Linked DNA regions of Styela clava. The protein of the gene in region 2 binds, or shares a complex with, the protein of the main gene of each other region. Links are inferred from orthologs where the notes say so. Each region holds a gene or a part of one and is shown on either strand. Other genes may lie near its edges.

Region 1 (6,568 bases), on a different chromosome or scaffold from region 2:
TACTCTTATGTGTTTGAGAACCAAGCACTGAATGTACTACTGCCTTATTAAAGGCAATTCGCTGTGTTCATTTCGATATGTCTTGATTGTCATAGGTTAGAACAAATGCTATTTTTCTGATTCTGTGGTTTTAAATGATCTCCTTCAAATCGAGGAAGAATGCAAATTTGTGATGTGTATTAAATTATTTGCGAACTTTATTTATGTTGTAATTAATATTGCACCTCTGAAAAAGGTAATAAAGATCACTGATTCAAAGTTTGTTTGTATTGGAAGGGGTGTCCTGGTAAATGCCAGCCATGCGATTTTCAAACTGTTTGGTAGGGCAGGGCCCCAATGAAATATTCTTCCTGAAGCTTGAGACACTGTACACATAACATTATAGACTCAGATTTGAATGCAAATTCCCAGAAACCCTGGCCTAGAATGTACTCGAATCCTGTTTCGAAACCACTGTTATATAGCAGATTTCATGAGCGAACAGGACTTGAATTTAACTTCCTTACACCAGAGCAGCTCCAACCTGTAACTGCTATTGAAACAACATATACAAATTGTTAAAATCTCAATATGCTTAATAATATTGCACCAATGAAGAAATCAGAAAAATAAATAAAAACACTGCAACAATCAATCACTGAAATCGTCATTTGAAGATAAACTTTGACTCTCGTTATCAGAATCTTCATCAGTTGGAGCTTGTCCACCATCAGGTACAGGGGCATCAGGCGTACTGAAATTAACACAAAGTACTGTTATTGCAAACATAGGTATCAATTTCATGCTCATTAACATGGTTAAAATATTCATCTGAAACCTATCAAATTGCTGACCTTTTTACAAACCAGACTGGTATATATTTAGAATAGCCATGGGAGAGAAAAGCTGTAGAGACAACCCTTTCATATGCACACTACATCCTCGCATCCGATTACCAGTCCATGTCAGCTATAGCATTAGTTGGTGGTTTTTTTGTTTGAAATTTGAAAAAAACATCACCAGATCCAACTTACTCGAGCATATCTGGATCCAAACCTTCAGCCCTCATTTTATTTGCAACTGCCATCTTCGGTACACCTACCATCACCATCTTGAGGTATTTGGCATATCTAGAAGTAAAAAATTGTTAAGACCAAATATACCAGAAGAAGCGATGAGTAAAGACAAATTTTTTAGAAAAATAACAGATAAACTAGGAAAATTTTTTTAGAACAGTACCTGGCATCATTCTTAACTAATACAACATTAGGATCAGGGGCAGGTGGTTCATTATCTTCAGCAGGGGGAGGGGCCTCAACCCCATTAGGGGTAGGGGTACTGACAGGCTCTGTTGAGGCAGGTTGAGTAGGTGACGGTTCCTCTTTCTTGACATCATCAAGGCCAGGAATGGATGAAAGCTAAAAATACAATTGAAATTAAGTTTTGGGCCATCACATCAAACTAAGCCAATATGCATTTTGTAAATCAATAGACAGAACGTATTCAATCAGTCCTATAATTTTTTTTTAATTTTCTCCATCTCAAAAAGAGAAGAAATAGTTTTATTTGAAGTCACATTCAGTTTACCATAGTTTGCTATTATAAAATAATGATCGATCCAATTTTGTTTTCGTCATCGATATAATATTAATGAATATATATATATGAGTGATATTGTCACAATTGTGTATAACATTTGGTGATTTGGTGAAAACTTTCAACTATCAAGCATATACCGATATAAACAACAGCTATTGTGTAGTCTGATTGTTGAATGAAAATATTTCTCATTTGTTGGAAAAAATAAAGTAAAGTCACCTTAGCTTCTAATATATTCAGAGCTATTTCCATTCTTTGCATCTCTAACGATTGTAATGCCAACTTTTCCTCTGCCATGTTTGAGAATTTATTGAGAAAATTTGCAGTGTGTGTGATAAAGTGGTTCATAAATGTCACAGAACGCCGTTGATTAAGCGGCGCCATCTTGAAATAAAAAATACGCAGGTAAATTATCATTTTATGGAAGAATATTTAATGGTCTAGTTTACAGTAGCGGTACCAGTAGAAAAAAAATTATCAAATATTACGTACTTTTGTAAGATCCACAGTTGGTCCCAAAGCGGGAAGATTAACGTCATCCATTATTTTGAACTGAACTATTTACTGTCCATATATTTTGATAATCGCATATATTAATCTTATTCCGTTTTTTATTTAGCTGTATTTTATTTTAGTAAAAACAACAACATTTCTTCAAATTACAATGTCCGCTGCCTAATCCCTCTCTATAACAGCGAGCCCAGGATACGATACGGTGAATGACTTTTATAAGAACAAACCAAAAATCAGCAGACGATCGACAGTTGAGAAAAAAGGCAGCAAGGTGCCTTATAAAAATTAAATAAGCGACGTCGCATTAGGATAAACAAAGGTATAAATGGATAACTTTGGAGGTGCGCGCATGTGGACCTGCCAATGGGCCAAACACACCAAAAAACTATTGAAAATTTACCCCAAGCTTCATATTTTTAGCCTGAATCGATGTGGTAGATTTGTCACGTGATCAGCCGCCATTACAACGTTCTTTGCCCAGCGGTCGTTCTATCCGTTGAGCGCAGTCAGCGACGAGGTGACGCATAGACAAAGAAATAGCACACGGCTTATGCGGGACCTTCCTCATGCGTATGTAATGTGGGAGTCGAGCGTTTGGGTTCCAAATCGGCCGTTACTGCATGATTTGTCGAGTATCGAGAGTTGATTAGGCCAAGTCGCGAAAACAAAACGGCGCGCTTCAGATATTTTTGCCTTCCCTTGGCCTAAAAACAAAATGGAGGCCGTTTTACATTTTAGCCACATTATTACCTCACCAAAGACGTCGATTTTTCGATTTTGTGACGTTGGTAAAACTTGGATTTTAAATCTTTTCTGGCCGAACTTAATTTCGCTTCACTTGTGTCAGTTTTGGAAAAAAGAGCGGAAAATAGTTATCAGTTTACAGGTTTTGGTGTTAGAGCGTCGATGGCAATTACTGAGTTAGGAAAGCCGGCAAATCGTTGTTGGGCAGTATAAGTGCGTTTATGGAATGTTTCTGCCCTGATTTTCGTAGTATTCCCGAGAATAGGAGAGACAAATATATATGATATTAATTTATCTAATCCAGCCATACCAAATTCATCAGAACGTCACATCGCCTGATTCAGTAGATATTACCTAAGCGTTTGAATTCACTGCCAGCCAGCTGCCTTGTACACCCGATCGCGGGTATCGCCCGTGGAAAGACGTATCACTTATTTAGATTTCCCGCTTTATATTACGCGACTTGTGCGAGAATACCGGCAAAGGAGAGTTGATAGACTGATTGGCAGCCCGTTTTGCAAACGCTTCAAGGAGTACAGGCAAATATATCTGACGTGCAAAGGTAACTCATGCTATGTGTTGCTACAGCTATATATTGATATTATCCAATGTTCCAAGCAATAATTTTTCAATATGGAAAGTAGGAGAGATTCACACAACTCATCTGAGCAAGGACAAAAGGAAGCTTTTTTAAATGAGCTTAGTCAATTTCTTTCGGACAAAGGGTAAGCTAAAGCCATAATACAATTCAGTTAACTTCTTGTACTACTTAGGGCATACACAAGCATAAATCATAACACACTGATTTTTCATCTAAACAATTTTAAGTCAAGTCTTTATTGCATCATATGTATTAAAATTTGAAATCCAAATTTAAAAATTTATTTGATGTTAAATCTTTCACGTTTTGATTTTAGAATTAGTACAGTAGTAGATTGTTTTATTTGTTGAAGTGATTTTTTCTAAACCTTTATGTTATTAATATTTCAGGAGATATGTTTGTCGAACTCCAAATCTTGCTGGCCGAACGATAGATCTTCACGATTTATACAACAAAATTACTCAAGCTGGCGGATATCAGAAGGTCTGTTGTTGATATTTATGTTGATGCATTTTCTCTTGTTTCTTTCTCACTGTTTTGTATTAGTGAACCTCACTGTTTCTTCATTTTATTTCAGTATTTGTACAATCAGACAATTTATGTAATTTCACTCTTGGTGAAGCATGTATGTGTTTATACCCTTTTTATTTTTACTTATGGCTTTTACAACTTATGGCCATGGCTTGACTTCCATGATTTATATTTTGTCAAGCGACTAAAATTTTTTGATATGTACAGTAATATATATGTTGGTATTGTATCTATGTTTGCAAATTCCAAATAATTTCATTATTTATATGCTGTTTGATTCGGTTTAAATTAATATAGGTAAAATATTACCACACATATTATGATATTAAACTAAAATCCTCAAACTTATTTCAAGATGGTTTTAATTTCAATGTTTTCCAGATTTTCACATATGGAAATTTATCGTGGATATAATTTTTTGTGAATTATTCTTGTTGTAACTAAAGGCCATTATCTTGATAATAGCTGTATGCTTGCTTTGGTTATTTTTTTGCCCGATTTTTGCAGTCTTAGCTTAGTGACAAAAACAAATATATCTGCGTAAGGTAATAAACCACAACAATTCACCTGTATGCATAATTTCATTTCAACATGCTTACAAACAGTAACAACTTTTTTTCTGAGAGTGTTTAAGTGACATGCAATTTCATAGTTTTTCAGTCTCCAGATTTCATTATAATTTTATTTACATAGATACTATGCACAAATAGTATACAGGCTTTTCTCTGAATATATGCTGCAACTTGACTAGTTGTTGGAAATTGTTCTCTATACTGCACGCCAAGTAGCACTGGCTACTGCTACTAACTAACATCATCGAGTGGGGGCTAATTGTGTTTTATGTGTAAATGTAATCTAACCAATGGATCAATTCATTTTAGGTGACTGATAGAGGGTTTTGGGAAGATTTTTTGGAATACTATGGGTTTCCTGGAATATCAGCGACTCTTGCCTTTGGATTGCAGAAGATTTATCAATTGTAAGTCTTTAAGCCTGCCTTGCCTGCTGGCCAAAGCCATAATATTTTGAGATATTATTAAATGTATTTTGAGGTTTTGGGTTTAATAGAGAAGTAGACGAAACTAATATATATTTTAATCAAACTCAATTTAATAGAAAAATATTCGAAACGAAAGTAGCAGGTACATGCTAGAATCCTTATTTACACCAATCATTTTCATTGTTTTGATGAACCCATGTTAAGTCAGTGATACATGTTCACTTCAAAATGAAGTCAGTTTGAAAGCTTTGAGATGCAGTTTGCTAATGATACCATTGGAATACTCTCTTCTTATTCGTAATGTATAGCAGCTGTGTGTTGTGATTTTGAAAATGTAGGGTTGCATTTATAAAATTATTTGCTTTTCTATGTTAATTAAAGCTTTCCACAGTTTGAATTGTTGTTTAGAAAAAGACAGGATTGCCAATTTTTTGTCAGTGTATAATATGTCAAATTATCAAGTAACCCATTTGTCAATAATAGGAGCTAACAGTCCATAGGTTTTGTGGAATTTGAAACAAGACTTTATAAAACTAATATGAAAATACTGTAGTATTTTGTTAGGAGTCTCTTGTAGAAGGTATTTGATTTGTTAAGATTCTGTCTGGCGCAAGTAGAATTACTGTGGAAAGACTTCTAATTGTCTTATTTTACACAGGTTTTTAGCCTTGTCTCATTTTTCATATTAACGTATACCTTCAACGTTTTACTTTTACTCATTCGTAGATATTTAGAAGATTATGAACGGGTTCATTTCTTTGGTGACGATGAGCCACAACCTTACTCTCGACTTTACGACGGAAAATTGAGAAGATTCAGATATCCAATATCTGGTTAGTTTTTTTTAATATTTTGATAAATTTATCGAAAAGTGTTTTATCTGTAGGTGAATTTTTTCGTATATATTTCGACGAGAATTCTCATTTCAATGAAAAGTTTGTTATTAGAATTTTTGTGAATTCTTTGCAACTATGGACTTCAACTTTTATGATTGAGTTTACCTTGGCATGAGAAGGTACTAAATATAATTTATAGTAACTAACCATCCACTCTGCCCTCCATACCTTTGAGCTCATGGTAAATGTATAATTTAAATATGCTGTAGCAATAATAAAGATGACTATTCTATCTGATTCGAGAGACTATTCTATCTGGCTGCACATCAACACAAATGTATTTCTGTAACTTTCGTTCCTGCAAGATTGTTGAATCACAGAGAACTATTGTAATAATAACCAAGAAAACTTATTCGATATAAAACATTTTTGATCTAATATTTATTAATTCAAGCAAAAATAATGTGGTTGTTCTGTATGTGAGATTCATGTGGCACATAATACCAGTATATAAATTTCAGAGATAACTAACTTGTTATTGCCATTTGCCAATGACGTTGTATATGTTAATGCTGGAACATTTTATCCAAAAATGCCATCTGTTGAGCAAAGCATATGATACCCACGAGACAATTGAAATTTTTTGTAACCTGACGAATAGCAGGAAATTATGAAAAACATGTACATTTTCCACAGTGTTATGTCTCTTACATTATATTTTGCAAATGTCTACATTAGTGAACCATAATTTAATTTATTATTAAT
Region 2 (7,785 bases):
TCTTCTTATTCATTTTTTCTTTGCAGCTTATGCTGTGCTCAACGAAGTTCAGCGTCAAAGGCGGCAGAATGGCGTAAAAATTCCTCAAATGCATGTTTTTCTGACTGCGGAATTCTTGCGAAAAAACATCAACAAGTTTGGTAAAATAATCCGATCCTTCAGCGGAATTTTTCGACAAGGTATCAATCACAGTATCCAAATGTGACGCGGCTTCATTTACTTCATCTCCTATGTTTTCCTCTCTCACTAGTTCATTGAAACTCACGATATCATCAAGATCAGGAACGAAACGTATTGCATCACTGCAATAATGAATTCCGCCAGACCTTACCATGCGAACATATCCCATTGCATTTCCTATATGAGAAACGAGCAGTCGGAATTGATCCAAATAACTATGACCCTCAGGTGAAAGACCGAGCTTTCGAATCCCTTTATTGAATCTGTCAGCGCGATCGTAGGGATACCTCTGTCCGAGTGCGACACGATTTTCCTTGAAATTCCGAATATCTTTAATAAGTCTTGATTTGATGTGTTCATCGTACAAAAACTGAGAAAAAATGTAAAATTTTTTCTTTAGAAATTGGAAAGTAAAATTCACTGTCGTATTCATGATTCCAGTTCCGTGGGTTCGTACGGAATTCGCAACGTGGCGAATATTGATCGTGTTTAGATGCTTGTTGTTGCTAGACTTTTCAACAAATATCTGATTATTTAGGTTGTAGAGATATTTCGAAACAAATACGTGAATATTTCTCATGATTTCCAAGACATCAAGACCTTGTTCAAGAGTCTGATTTGGTAGATGAACCTCTTGCATTCTGAGTTGATATTTCTGTACAGCCAAATTTCTCATTTCTCCGTAGGTTCGCCAGTCGTGCAAAGCCACAGTTGTCAAATTATAGAATGTCGTATCGATGTAATGTGACACATAATCTTTTATGTCAATCATCTGGTTCAGAAAATGTAGCGGTTTAATGGACAATAATTGTCGAAGGCCTTTCAGTCCAACTTTATACGGGTTTCTATCATCTAATTTTAAATGGGTATGGACAGACAGGCGTAGGTCGTTTTCAATCTCCTTGCATACTTTCACTAACAGGTTCTGTTTCAAAATTGCTATAACATCTTCGGAGTAATGTTTCACCAGTTCTTCTGTGTTTTCAACATGTTTGCTTCTACGTATATGGGGAACACAATCATTCAAAACAGAAAACATATAATGCATTTGACCTGCATCTGTAGGATCTTGACAAACTCCGTCAAAAAATATTCCAAGGACTGCACGATGCCAGTAAAAGAAAGAAAAATCAGATGCTCTACGAATAGATGATTTAAGGCTGTTTCCAAAAATAATCAATCTGTCGATCATCGTCTTGACAACACCCAATTCCTCATCTTTAAATACTCTCATTTGATCGGCGATACTGATGGCTAATTTTGTAACAAGAATTCTTTGAGCTGTCGGTGGTCCGTTAATAGAATTCGAAGCAAGCATGATAGCTGATAATATATCGAGCCTTCGATCGCTGTATTTTTTGTCGACTACGATTCTTCTTTTTCCCATTTGTAAACCAGCAAGAATTTGGTATTGTAAATGCTGCACCATCTGTTGTTCATTTTCCATAACTTGCATCGCACAACGATGAAAACTGTCTTCAATAGCTTTCGCTAATCCCATAATACGACAAAGAGCCAATACTTCAGATCTTGACATTGGTTTTTGCATTGCTGCATGCAGATTCATCACTTGGCTTACCATGTTACTTAAACCAAAAGATAAATATATTCCCTCCAATAGAATTTTGACTTTGTTATTGAGATCGGCAGTTGATTTGTCTTGCGTCTGTATAGACTCCATTTTGACAAGCCAAGAACTTACTGTCAAAAAGTAACTTTGGGCTTCCCTAGGTAAGGATTGCTGTTTTGAATTCAAGTACGCCAGTCGAGATTGGGTTACTTGATCAGACATTTTCTTGTCGATTGCTTTTCCAGCAAATCGTTTCAAAAACTCATCAGCGAACCAAATGACGTTACTAGTCAAAACAACGCATGGCAGCTTCTTGTAAACATCCCACAATTGGCGAAAAAGTCGCTTGTCCAAGTCTCGAAAAATCATCACATGAAGAGCGAATAAAGCACATAATTCCACATACTGTAACCTTTGAGTCGTTTCAGTTCCGTCACCAATTTTCGGTTCTACATTTCCAAAAATAATTTTTATATTGGTAGCAAATTCTTCAGCAAAAAGTGTATTTTTACTGACTGGAATACCAGTGTCGTCATAATTTTGTAGCCAGCAATGATCCAGTATTTTACCATCTAAAATCTGCCTTTCGATTCTGGCTAACATTTTTTCAAACGGTTTTATTTTATCCGCATCGACGCCATATTTAGACGGATCCTGATATACAGACTTCAACACAACTTTATATTGAATCCAATGGTTCTTTAACACAGTATTAGCAGCTACAATTTCATTTAAAGTAATCATGATGCGCAGTAACGCTCCGATACTTTCAAATACAGTTGTAAAGTGAATTTGTCCGACTTCCATAACTTTAGGCATCGTTTTGTTATGTAGTGCTGCAAGTTGTAAGATCATGTTTTTTAAGACTTCTTTTCCTCTTGTTACAAAGCTTGACAATCTTTGTAATAATGGCAAAAGACGACCAATTTGGGATTGTCGTGTTCCATCTTCTTCCTTTATTTCTACTCCTTCGCCATAGAACAATAACGCATCATAAAATTCTTCCTTTGCCTCTTTTTCCAAATGCTGTACTTCGAGGCATAAAGAAGATAACGCGATTATAATCTTATTCAACACTTTGTTTTCTGTGTTTATCAAATCCAAAAGTGACGTCCTTTCATGCGGAGATGTGTCCAACGAAATCGGATCCAAATGCCTATCCCATGCATCAAGGCTATAACTTCCGAGAGCCGTTTCCAAATCCGCAAGTTGCTGGGAGTACCCTGAAATGAACTTGGAATAGCTTCGTAGTTGTATTTCCCCAGCTAGCTTTTCAGTACCATCGTCTAACACCCAATCCTGTTGTTCAGTAGCGGCCATAATTGTCAAAAAGCATTTAATTAGGGCTAATTATTAGCTGTGTTGCATAAGCATAAAAAAAAAAAAACTAATAATATAGACACTACCGTACCATCAGAAGCTTGATATAGATATGGGGTCTGTGGGTGGTATATTCCTGTCTTTGCTCAAATAATGAAATAAAGACTACAGACAGTAAGCGCTGCGGTGTGGCTCAACGGGCTAAGCGTTATGAATACGCTCGCCAACGTCGCACCTCTAATTACTCTGCATGGGTTCGCAGGTTCGAATCCCATGCAGGGATGGTTATGTGCGAGAGGATTGCTGGACTCCTCGCCGTCGTTGGGTGGTTCACGTAATACCGGTAGCTACTGATACGGTATAACATTGCCATGTATCGTACCGTACCGTGTGGCTCGGTGGTGTCGCGCATCGAGCTAAGGCTGAAAACGAAAAACTGTCTGCTATTTCCCGACTAAAATGACTACCGGTACCGGTATATCTTTTTTAATATCACGATCCCGATACGTCCCTACTGAAATGGCTGTGTTTGTTCTGTACTTAATAAAAAGACCATGTCCGCAATGTCTCTACTAAAATAGCGATGTCCCTTCTAAAATCGCGATCTCGATACCTTCCTACTAAAATGGCTATGGCTATGTCCGCTATTTTCCCACCTTTTAAAATCGCGACAACTTCCTACTAAAATGGCTATGTCAGCTATGTACATACTAAAATAGCGATATCCTTTGAAGCAACTTTTTTTGTAAATTTTTTGCTTAACTCAAAACAATTCTAGCCATTTTTGGTAAGAAGCCAGATTAATGAAATATCACATCGTATCTTTATATATTGTGTGCCAACCAAACGAGGGATTTAGTGCATAAATTACAAATCAAGTCCATGCAACATCCCCGGAATAAAAATGATATCCTATTCTGAAATTTTGGAATTTTACTTAAACAATCTCGAAATTTTACAAATTAAGAAAAAGTGCACACATAAAGCGAATTTTGCGTAGATTGGCAGGTTCGGGCACAGAGGGGATAACTATGTGAGAGATGATTGCTGGACTCTCCACTGCCGGGTCACGCAACTGCCTCATATAAAACAAATATCTGGCAAACCAATTACGTACCCGACATGGACTGGTAACCGGACGAGGGGCCATAGTACGCCATACGATTAGGTCGTTTTATCGACTTTCCTATCCAACGTGATAAAAATGATATCTTATTCTTATGCCCAATAGGCTAAGGCTACATCAGCTACCGAGGGGGTCTATTGCCCCCAATTAAACACTAAGTTCCACTGAAATAAGTAAGTTCATTTCGATTTTTTGATACAATAAAACAAAGAAGCGAAATACGCGCAAAACTAACAAATAGCGGAAAATCAGAAAAGTGCGCAAAATCTAAAAAATAAAAATCTGATACCCTTTCACTTACCCTACAGCCCAAACAGCAAACAACACATTAAAGTAAATTTAAATAATATATATTTCAGGCATAAATACTTGGGTGCAAACGTCCAACTTTAAAATTAAATTAGATGTAGGAAATAGAATCGTCAACACGAAGCAAAGCAATCGGAAGCAAAGCAATCGGAAATCGGTCTGAATTCATTGAAAAAGTAAAACAAAAAATTATTACAAAAAACTATTTGTTGCAGAAATGACAAAAGGAAGCTCTATGGTGAAAAGGAGTTCTTTCAAAAGAAATAATAAACTAGAATAATATAAGCTTCGAATAACTGACGATTAATATGAAAGTCTCATTGCTGAATTTTATAGACAGCTAGTTTCTGATCTGTATAGGGAAATATGAAAAAATATGTAATCTACTAAAATGCTTGTGGTCCCACTGAAATACTCGCATATCCTCAACAAAGTGCATATAACCGGTTATTATATTCACTTGGATAATCACTAAAATGGATACTTCCTTAATATTAAAATGGCACTAGCCGTATGTTAGTAGCCTAGTTTACTAGGAAGATCAAAAGTCAGGTTTTGGATAAATGTGTATTTTTCATACGCAACTTTTTCATTTTTTATCTTACTGAAACCAATTTCCACCGATTTCGTTTTGAAGCAAGTTAAATCAACTACAATAACTATCATAATTCTATGTACGTATTGGCTACCACTGGGGCTGTGATTTCTGGACGAAATTAGAAATTTTGACATCGTGATTCTCACTCAACAATCGCATGATTATTCAGTATTGGAAACTTTTGAAAGTAAACGGATACGTTGAAAATTTGAGTAGAAATTATATATATTTAATGTAATATTGAGTTGTAAACAGGCCGTTATCATTGATAACACGGCCAGATTGCGCCCATACGATTAGCTTTCCTACGTCGGTAGACATTCTCCATCTTTATCGCCAAACTTTGAATGCCCAGTGAACTGTTTTAGTAATAAAATGAACCCTGATTTTAACACAGTTGGTGGGTCCTATCCAGTGGTGAAATTCAAATTTTTTGTCAGCCGGTTTCATCACAAATATCGGTACTCCCGAAGTATGCGCACCAAGATGTCGCACAACCTGAACAATAACTTGGTACACAACCTGAGTTCAGGTTGTGCGCCATCTTGGTGCGCATACTTCAGGAGGTCCCAAATATCATATGCCGGTAACAGTCGGTTCTGTTACAAACAGAACATTGACAGTAATCAGTAAAGCTAACCGGTTTGCTGATCTCATAAAATTTCTTGAGACGGTTCTATAGAACCGGTGCGAACCGTCTGAATCCCACCACTGGTCCTATCCCATACATCGGTATTACAGGAGTAAGCATATTATTATGGATGTATTGCACAAATGACGCGATTTTTTTTCTGAATTTAGCTAATTATGGCTTAGCTGTAAAATGCATGATGCCAGTGTCGGGATATAATAGGGCGTGATCGAAATCTTATGGACCTTTCCCCGAGCATCAACTTCCTTGTTTACTTCGTGACATTGGCCAATCAGGTAGTTGCAAAAAGTGACACTTTTGAAGTGATCCGCTCAGACACTTTTCTCACTCAGGCAGATTTTCAAGTGTGGTTGTAAACATTAACTCGTTTTCGCGTTTTTTTTTTATCTCTATTCGTTAATTTTCAGTTGCGTTTCGGAAACTTAAATAAAAATCAGATAATTCAATGATCACTCTGTCTTCCTAGGAGTTTTAATTTAATTGCAATAATAAAAAATTAGTGTAGAAATAGCTGTGATAGACTAGCCTGAAATTATTTACCGGTACTTTTAAAAAACAGATTGTTGTATGCGATGAATCATAATGATGGCTTGGAACACATACCCAATTTATAGGCGCCAACTCGCAAAAGCACTCTTAAAATAGCCCCGAAAATTTTGCAATGATAAAGTATAGGAAGAATTTTCCGGCGGTCAAAGGTCGGGGAAAGGTCCATACATAAAAGCACAACGGATGTTAAGCACTAGATACAGTAAAGTGAAGGGAAACTATATCCTATGAAAAAATCCAATAAAAATGAAATATATTTAAAATCGGCATATTGATCCGACAAAAATTACCTTCTTGAAAATTCTGGGAATCAGGAATCGAGTAACAAGCCTAAACTCCGGGATTTCGGGATTGTTGTTTTATCATATATATTAAATTGTCTTGTACAATTCGCTTGGAGTAGATTTGTTCTATTTTTCAGGGACTTCGTTTCTACTGCATAATAAATAGTGCATTTATTATTGTAATTAATTCAATATCATTTGCAACTGCATGTAGTACCAGTTTCTCAAAAAATAAATTCACACTGGCCTTTGAACTCACCAAACTGTAGAAGTGATCGAAAAAAATCCCATTCTGGCAAACTACAACCACTCGTCCGGCTCCCATGTCTAACACGAGTAGCTAACTAATCAATTATGCCAGCTAGCTGCATGAATTAAGTCTGTAAGGATGGGTGTAGAACTCCTCGTGACTTCAAAATCCCACACACCGCCTTAAAAAAATTATTTGTGGATCGGAACAAACGGATTTTGCCCGGAAATATAATATTTTGTCCAAAAATAGTTTCATGCTTCGGGCACACAATTTAGGGTACTTATGCGATTTTGCTGCTCGTGATTGACCATTGTTGGGAAAAATAAAAAATATTTGGGTTGGGCATTGAGTTTAGTAAAATATTCATTGTGTGAATATAAATAGCTTTAGTGAGATGATATACAGCCTGTGAATGACTTTGAATAAAGACGTTAAGGCCTTCAAACCAAAATAACATCTATTTGAGGCACAAAAACTTGATATGTCAATTCAGTGTACTCGATATAGATAATTTAGAAAGGCGATCAAGTAAAATTGTACCCGATATTACTTGAATTACATCTTCAAGAGACTCGGCTTGTCCATGTATTGTCGAGATTCGTTGTTCCCATATTAATCCAGATGTTAACTATAAAAACTGTTAATTTTACCCCTTTCGAAAACGTTTCAAAATAATCTAATTTTCAATTACGGATATTAAAATAGCGACGAGTTTTCGAAGTATACAGAACGTTGTGACAATAGCCCACTATATTCGAAAACGTCTGATTTGATTGCTGTGGATTGATGATATTTCTGTTTTACCTGACATAGGATATGACCGAAATTCTCGAGCGGCAAGTAAATGGATAAGGTAATCAAAAATGTAATTGTAAAACAGTAATTTTCAATTTATTAATTAAATCACCACGTTTGGTGTCTACTTTAACAAAACCTGGGTAGAG
Region 3 (7,594 bases), on a different chromosome or scaffold from region 2:
GCACGCGATATCTTACAAAGGCGAGGTTGAATCTGCTCCTAATTTTGCATGTGCATTTATCATATCTCGGACCAGAAGCCCATTGATTTTGGATGAATTATGTCGTATAATTAGCAAGTTAATAATTGATTAGTGATGGGACATGCGGTGTCACTATAGAGTCATGAATTGAAACTGCAGTTTCCATCGATAAGTCTTTGGTCTCCGACCGATATTCTCGTTTTATCCTTAATTGATTGCTGTGACATCACAGACAAAAAAAATTGAATTCTACAGTTTTGAATTTGAGAGTTCTAAGAGTTGTACAAAATGAATCTCAAATTTAGATATATCGCAGAAAGACTTAAGACAAAAAGCATGCGATTCTGAAAACACTCCCACTGTATGATCTAACCAAGCGTTCTCTAATACTGTTAATAAAAAAAACCTTGTTCATCTAAATATATTTTTGAATTTCTATGGAAAATTTCAACTTCAATTATCGCTAATAAATGTCTGAAATTGGTCTCTTCCATGGCACACAAATAAATAGTGATTTGAATGTTTAAAATAAAATATTCTATATACTTAAATTTATACTACAAAACTTGCACAATTATTGGTGATTCAGTCAAAAATTTTAATACAGTATCCAAATTTTTATTGATTTTTATATTCTTATTCAATGATTTTCCCAAAACAGTTTTTATATAGCATCTCGCCGTAAACATTTTTGGATCTTTTATACCAGGGGTGAGAAGTCGATTGTGTCTGATGTTGAGTGAATTTAATAACATACCGGTACCCTAAAAAATTGCCACTCTAGACCCAGTTTTTGTGTGGCGATTTCATTAAAAATGCGCCCACACAGCCAAACTTATTGGCAGCGATGTAATTTTTCGTATGCATTTGTGCAGTTATCTGCATATTCAGCACTCATTTGTTTTTGTGTATGACCTCATTACCGATCAGTCGATCGTGAGCTATTTTGAAGATTTTAGTCGATCGCGGCTGAAAACAGGTTGGCCACCCCTGTTTTATACAAAGCCTCGCCACCTCTCAAAATAAGAAAATTAGCAATTATCCAGTAAGTGTTAGAAATGCAGATTGCGCTGGGAATTAAAATCATTTCTACCCCAACTGAGTAATTAGCAATTTGATTTTAAAAACGTGGCGTGGTGATTTACTCGAATCTCACATTTTTGCATTGGTTGAAAGATACAAATTTTTTAAATTTACCATTTCCATTTAAAAAATCGGGGCTCCCGAAGTATGCAAACCAAGATGGCGGACATCGGAATGTAATATGTGTACTAGGTTAGGGTTAGGCCATAATTTTATGTATAAATACTACGGGAGGCTCTTGGCTAGTCTTCAAACTGATAATAGGACTAAAATAAGGAAAATTGGAAAAAAATTATCGCCTAACCCTAACCTGTTACGTTCCGATGTCCGCCATCTTGGTTCGCATACTTCGGGAGCACCAAAAAATCTATATTCAAGCTTCATTATTTTTAGTGATTTTAGTGAACTCATTTTGAAAATGTTATATTAATACTCATTTTTTCTCCAAAAACACAAATTTTGATAGTTTTAAAAAAAAAATTTTTGGATTAAATCCTCCCTTCAAATAAAAATTATCTAATTCCAGTCATCATCATCGCCTGCGTCCGTCGTTTGACTTTGCGTCGGCGCTGGAATCATCGCAGATATTTTCTCCATCGCCGAACCGCCTCCAAGGTTACTATTATTATCATTGGCTGAGGCAGGCCGTTCCGCACCCTTAGCTCCCGAAATCCCTTTTCGTCTCATAGCGAGACGGCTTGCTAGATCAGACATCATATCGCCACCGCCTGACGAGCTCGCAGCAGCTTTCGCTTCTTTTTCTTTCTTTTTGGCGAGCTTTCGGTCTTTGCTACTCTTCAGTTTCACTTTTCCGACACCGCCAGCTTTGCGAATCGAGTCGAGTAAATTAGAGCGCCCACCATCAGGAGTAGCAACAGATTGCGGAACTGCGCTCGGAGCAGAGGGGGGTGGTGGTGGAGGGGGCGGGGGAGGAGGCGGGACTCCAGCAGGTGGCGCTGATGTGTTTGGAACAGACGGGGGAGGAGGTGGGGGTGGCGGATTTGAACTTGGAGGTGGGGGAGGAGGCGGAGTTTCCTCTTTACTGCCACTATCTGGAACATCAGGTAACGCATCTCCGACACCTGGTAAATCTGGTAAGTTACTAATTGCGAGTAACGAGGGAGCAATACTCTCGCTCACGTCCGAACTGAACGTTAAATCCGCAACGCCAGGTAAATCAGGCAAATCCATCGGAACGTCGATTTCTGGTACATCCCCCAAATCTGGAACGTAAAAATAATTCTCTGCAACGTGGCGTTCCATTTGTTCTCTATTGCTGATTGACATTGGTGCGTCCCCGAGCCTACTGTCATCTGCTTTCTCTTCATCTAGACCAGTTTTGGTTTTCGTCGTAAAACCGAGAGGATCGAAAATGGTATATTTCTTATACGGGTTCTCGGATGAGTTGAACAGTAATAGCGAACTCAGGGATGCAATATTTGAGGGTAATCCCCCAAGTCCCTCCCCACTTTGATCGACGTATGGAGCCGATTTGGTTCTCGGTCGAGGGAGATTGTAAATTTGCATCTTGTTTTTTAAATTTTCGTCCTCAAATGCTAAATGCCTTGTTTTTATTTTTCGATAATTCTGTTTGACTTCCTTTAACGAGCTTTGCATATCTTTGAACATTGAAATATATCTCTCTCGTTCTTCGGACGCTGGGTATTTCGAACTAGAAAAAACCTGCGTCGCTCGGTTACTTCCCCGAACTTTTTCGATTCGCGCTTCAGCGGTTTTAATTCTGTCCATCAAAGCATCAAGTTTCTTTTTGTTATCCGCGACTCTGTTGTTCACTCTTGCAAAAACGTCATCTGAAACTCCAGAGAGATAATCTAATGAGTCCGCAAACTGCATGATCGTTTCATTCCGTCGTAAATCGAACGGGATTACTGGAATGCTGTACATTTGCTCTCTTTCTACCATTTTGAATTGTTGTTTATAACTAACAAAAGTTCTGGTAAGGGCAAGAAATCTTTTTAATGTAAAGTCAGTATTCTGAGTTGTAGTTTTTAAGAAATTTGGTCAAAAAATATCATGTCAGCACATATACTCACTCGGAAATAAAGAAGATTGAGTTCTGAGCGAAGTTACAGGCGACCCCTAAACTGTCAAGCCTACTCAAATCTTATTGCACACAAACTTGAAAGCATTTTAGTATTTATGTAATGTCTCAATAATCCATACTTTTTTGAACCAACATCTGAATATGTTGTGATAGTGTGCAGCCAAACTTTCTAAGATACTCAAAATTTTCATGTACTACTCTTACTGCGACATTATACAGTTATATGCATTCTAAAATAATCCCAATTTTTCTTAGATGTGACGCACATCGAAAGATTAGTGATTGATATGTGTTCTTTTTTCATATTCATTAAAGTTCTTATTAAAAAAGTCAATTCGCATACGTTTACGAAACGGTACAAATTAATTCAAGGCACGAGAAGTATGATCTTAGCACGCGTCAGTCAACGCGCATCATCGATTGAATGCCGACATTTTCCCTCGCAGCGATTTCTCTCGTTTAGCGTTTCACTAAGCGCGGTAAATATCTTACGAGTTAAGGAATATTAAATGATAATAAATCGTTCATTAAGGTCGGATATGAAAAACGCTGAATCAGTTAATTGCAGCGTAGGCGGGAACTTGCGTAGTGGGAAAGTCGTTGCCGACCAGTGGTTATGTAAAGTTCAGAGACTTTCTCTTACATAATTAATTGGAAAGCAGCTAATTTCGTTGAAAAGAATTTGTAAACTTTTTTGCATTAGGTTCTTTTATTCACAATAACTTTTCGTTTCTAATTTATTTCGATTACCTTCAAAAATAGCCGAGATACATTCTGTTGTTTATCAGTCTGACATTCCTGCGGTCACAGTTTTTGAGTCGGCGCAATACAATCCTTATGGAAAAAATTGGCCTATCGGGCGGTACTTAAATGCCGATATCTCCGGTAATTCTTGACCGTTTTTCGCAAACATGATATTGTTTTCTTATTTTCACTTAGATCTATCCACTGGCCAGTCTGGATTTCATGGCCTTTTTGAACGAGAAATCGGGCGTGCAATCAGAAATTCCCGCGTGCAAATAAGAATTCCTGGCGTGCAATTATAGCTCACGACGTGCAAAACAACTGCGCTCGGGTGCAACTGACTTTGACATCAGATACCTCTCAATACATCCGCGTAAAATTACCGGTATCGGATAAAAAATACGTTGAATCAGAGAAAAAATGGACTTTTGACCTTTGACCCCAAACATTATTTCTACAGTTTGTCGCTAATTTTGAGAGTGTTTGTGCGACTTTGGATACCGGTACCATTTAAACCGATTTACATTGGTGAGCAATTGCAAATTTTCGGCGTCCAAAATTGATTTCGCTCGCGTGCATTTTTGCGGAGCGCTAGCGCCCTCGGGCGTGCACCTGCCATCCAGACTGGATTCCATGGCAGGTGCACGCCCGAGGGCGCTAGCGCTCCGCAAAAATGCACGCGAGCGAAATCAATTTTGCACGCCGAAAATTTCGGTTTAAATGGTTTTAAAATCAATAATCCAGTAATATAAAGATGCCAAAATATTATAACTCCACAATTGTCGACAAATACCAGCTTGCAAGATTTGGTCCGATCGAAATATTGCGAAGCAAAAAGACCATGGACCTTTCCCCAACCTTTGACCCGCGAAAAATTCCTCTCATTGTTACGTCCTTTTTTGCATCTTGCTGATTGGCCAATGTCACGAAGTAAACAAGGAAGTCGATGCTCGGGGAAAGGTCCATATCGTGTTGAATGTTGGAAATAGGAATCCCGTGAGAATAGTTATGGACGAAAAGATCGCCTCCGCACCAATGGCCAAGTACGGCTCTGATTCAGCGTATTTTTCATACAATAATTTTACACGAATGTACTGAACAGTACCGGTATCTAAAGTTGCTCAAACACTCCCAAAATTAGTGACAAAGTATGAAAATAATGTTTGGGGTCAAAGGTCAAACGTCCATTTTGCTCTAATTTGACGTATTTTTTATCTATTAATTCTACGTAAAAACACTACCAAAATTAATGACAAAGTATGTCCATTTTGCTCTGGTTCAACGTATTTTTTATCCAATAATTTCACGCGGATGTACTGAACAGTATCGGTATCCGAAGTCGCACAAACACTCTCAAAATTAGCGACAAACTGTAGAAATAATGTTTGCGGTCAAAGGTCAAACGTCCATTTTTTCTCTGATTCAACGTATTTTTTATCCGATACCGGTAATTTTACGCGGATGTATTGAGAGGTATCTGATGTCAAAGTCAGTTGCACGCGAGTGCAGTTGTTTTGCACGTCGTGAGCTATAATTGCACGCCAGGAATTCTTATTTGCACGCGGGAATTTCTGATTGCACGCCCGATTTCTCGTTCAAAAAGGCCATGAAATCCAGACTGGCCTGCCATGGAATCCAGTCTGGTCCACTGGTGCAGTTTTTATTTAAATCGGATGAACTTTAATTTTTTTGTAACATACCTACTGAAACCAGGAAACGAACAACTGCTGAACTGGCTAACTAATCACATACCCGAGATGGGCAGTTAATAGAGAGAAAGAGTTTATTTCATTTTGTCAAACCAAGAAATCAATTTATGCACACATAAACAAATATCAAAAAAATAGTTTTCGGTATATGACTGGGGGGCAACGATACGACCTAGGACGAAAAGCCATAGTGCGCTATATAAATAAGCCGTTCTATCGACTTTTCTTTCTGTCGGTACCGGTATAAATATAAAAACTATCTCTGAAATAAGCACAAGAAACAGCGACAGCTTAAAGAGAAAATGGACGACTATTTCAGGGTATTCCCCTCAACTTAATCACATGACGAGCTCATTCAACTGTGAATTTAAAATTCTAAAACGATTAGTTTCTGAAGTTTTGCTCGATTATGAAATTAAAATAATAAATAATTTCAAGATTAAACTAATTTAAACATTTTAGACAAAACCTCCATTTCTTCATAGCGAAAATTTGATAAGTGTTTTAGAAACACAGGTTACGACCTTTGACCCTAGCTTTGATGCTGCTTTTGGATCGAGGTTGTCGATTCGGTCTTTTCGGGAACGTCCTGCCAATCAAGGTAAGTGTTCGATTTACTCCCAATTTTAATCTGTCCTGATCTAAACAATAGTGAAGTTTTTCATTGATATTTTGATAATTATGGAAAATTCATAACTCTTATTTTAAGTTGTCGTTTCTAATTTAGTCCTAAAAGCCGTATATGATACGATGATTTTATCTTTAAGTGGCGTATACCGAAAGAGTTTCTTGTGTAGTATTTTCTGCATTTGCTGTGGGAAAATTGAGGTCACAGCTCAATTGAGTATGTGGTTTACTTCAAAAGCAATTGGCATAATAATCAGAAGGTTCCTATAAGTTATATTATTACCTGTAACCATGCATTTATTGTTTTATGAGAATACTTCTATATGCTTGAAACCTTTTTGAAGGGTGTTGCCAGTTAGGATAGGATAGGATTTACATATTTATCCCGGGGGAGAAGAAAGCCGATAAGACGGCTTATCCATATGGCGAACCACGGCCTCTCGTCCGGTTACCTTTCCAAGTCGGGTATGGGATTAGTTTTTTTACTGTATTGTTTGTTTTCGGAAGCATGGACTTGGTGGTGGAGGAAGCCGTAACCGACCAGCGGTTTCGTGAACCACCCAACGACGGCGAGGAGTCCAGCAATCCTCTCGCACATAACCATCCCTGCATGGGATTCGAACCTGCGAACCCACACAGAGTAATTAGAGGTGCGGTGGCGAGCGTATTCCTAACGCTTAGCCCGTTGAGCCACACCGCCGCGCCGTTATTTCAATTTCCTAATCTTCTGTGTGTTCATCGTTTCATGTTTGTTATTTTCTGGAAAAATTGCAACAAAATTTTTATTATACATGTAATTCTGTCATTTTGTATTGCTGTTGTACAGAGATTCGGATGCCAACGATCATATACTGCTCGATGCCATTATTATTATGGTTATTTCAATTTTGTAGATGGTGGCGAAAAAAGACAAGAAGCGTTCTGGTGGGGCGATGAAAGATGTCGTAACGAGGGAATATACGATTCATATGCATAAGAGGATTCATGGAATGTAAGTTGTTTATTCCATTTGCCAGTTTTTTTGATTTTACCAAGTGTTTTTTTTTATATGTGTTTTTTTTTTATATGTGTTGTTTATCGGTCAAATCAAAATAAACAGGTACTCATTTAATGTCTAATTTTGGTTTTGATAATTACTAGAAAACAGCGTTTTTTGCCGAACAGAGCAAAATGTGCGAAACACTCAATTTTTCCATCGCTTACTGTTCATTTCTGTTTCGCACTGTTTTCAGGGCTAAACCCCATCCAAAAGTTAAAAATGTTAGGTAATCATGCAAACTATAAAAAATGATACTGAAAAGCCAGCATACGAAACGAAGTGCCCTTTTCTTGATGGCGAATTTAT

What was found.
Region 1: WASH complex subunit 4-like (region 2) and WASH complex subunit 3-like share a complex: the UniProt entries of both Drosophila melanogaster proteins name them as parts of the WASH complex. The link is inferred for Styela clava from reciprocal best matches to the Drosophila melanogaster genes SWIP and CCDC53.
Region 3: WASH complex subunit 4-like (region 2) and WASH complex subunit 1-like share a complex: the UniProt entries of both Drosophila melanogaster proteins name them as parts of the WASH complex. The link is inferred for Styela clava from reciprocal best matches to the Drosophila melanogaster genes SWIP and wash.

Annotation. Positions count from the first base shown.
Region 1 is NC_135255.1:16,060,003-16,066,570, forward strand, and holds WASH complex subunit 3-like, read right to left. Parts: upstream 2,300-6,568; 5' UTR 2,122-2,299; coding exon 2,071-2,121; intron 1,963-2,070; coding exon 1,798-1,962; intron 1,398-1,797; coding exon 1,219-1,397; intron 1,110-1,218; coding exon 1,014-1,109; intron 734-1,013; coding exon 631-733; 3' UTR 555-630; downstream 1-554. Other genes in the region: uncharacterized protein LOC120331925, read left to right, coding at 3,469-3,560, 3,826-3,919, 4,849-4,946, 5,694-5,800. UniProt on the Drosophila melanogaster protein: Acts at least in part as component of the WASH complex which may regulate wash nucleation-promoting factor (NPF) activity and is required for its membrane targeting during endosomal sorting.
Region 2 is NC_135264.1:10,523,030-10,530,814, reverse strand, and holds the start of WASH complex subunit 4-like, read right to left. Parts: upstream 3,106-7,785; 5' UTR 3,071-3,105; coding exon 1-3,070. UniProt on the Drosophila melanogaster protein: Acts at least in part as component of the WASH complex which may regulate wash nucleation-promoting factor (NPF) activity and is required for its membrane targeting during endosomal sorting.
Region 3 is NC_135263.1:1,569,124-1,576,717, forward strand, and holds the start of WASH complex subunit 1-like, read right to left. Parts: upstream 3,085-7,594; 5' UTR 3,028-3,084; coding exon 1,621-3,027; 3' UTR 1-1,620. Other genes in the region: large ribosomal subunit protein eL31-like, read left to right, coding at 6,164-6,223, 7,143-7,240. UniProt on the Drosophila melanogaster protein: Acts as a nucleation-promoting factor by activating the Arp2/3 complex to induce actin polymerization. Participates in both linear- and branched-actin networks.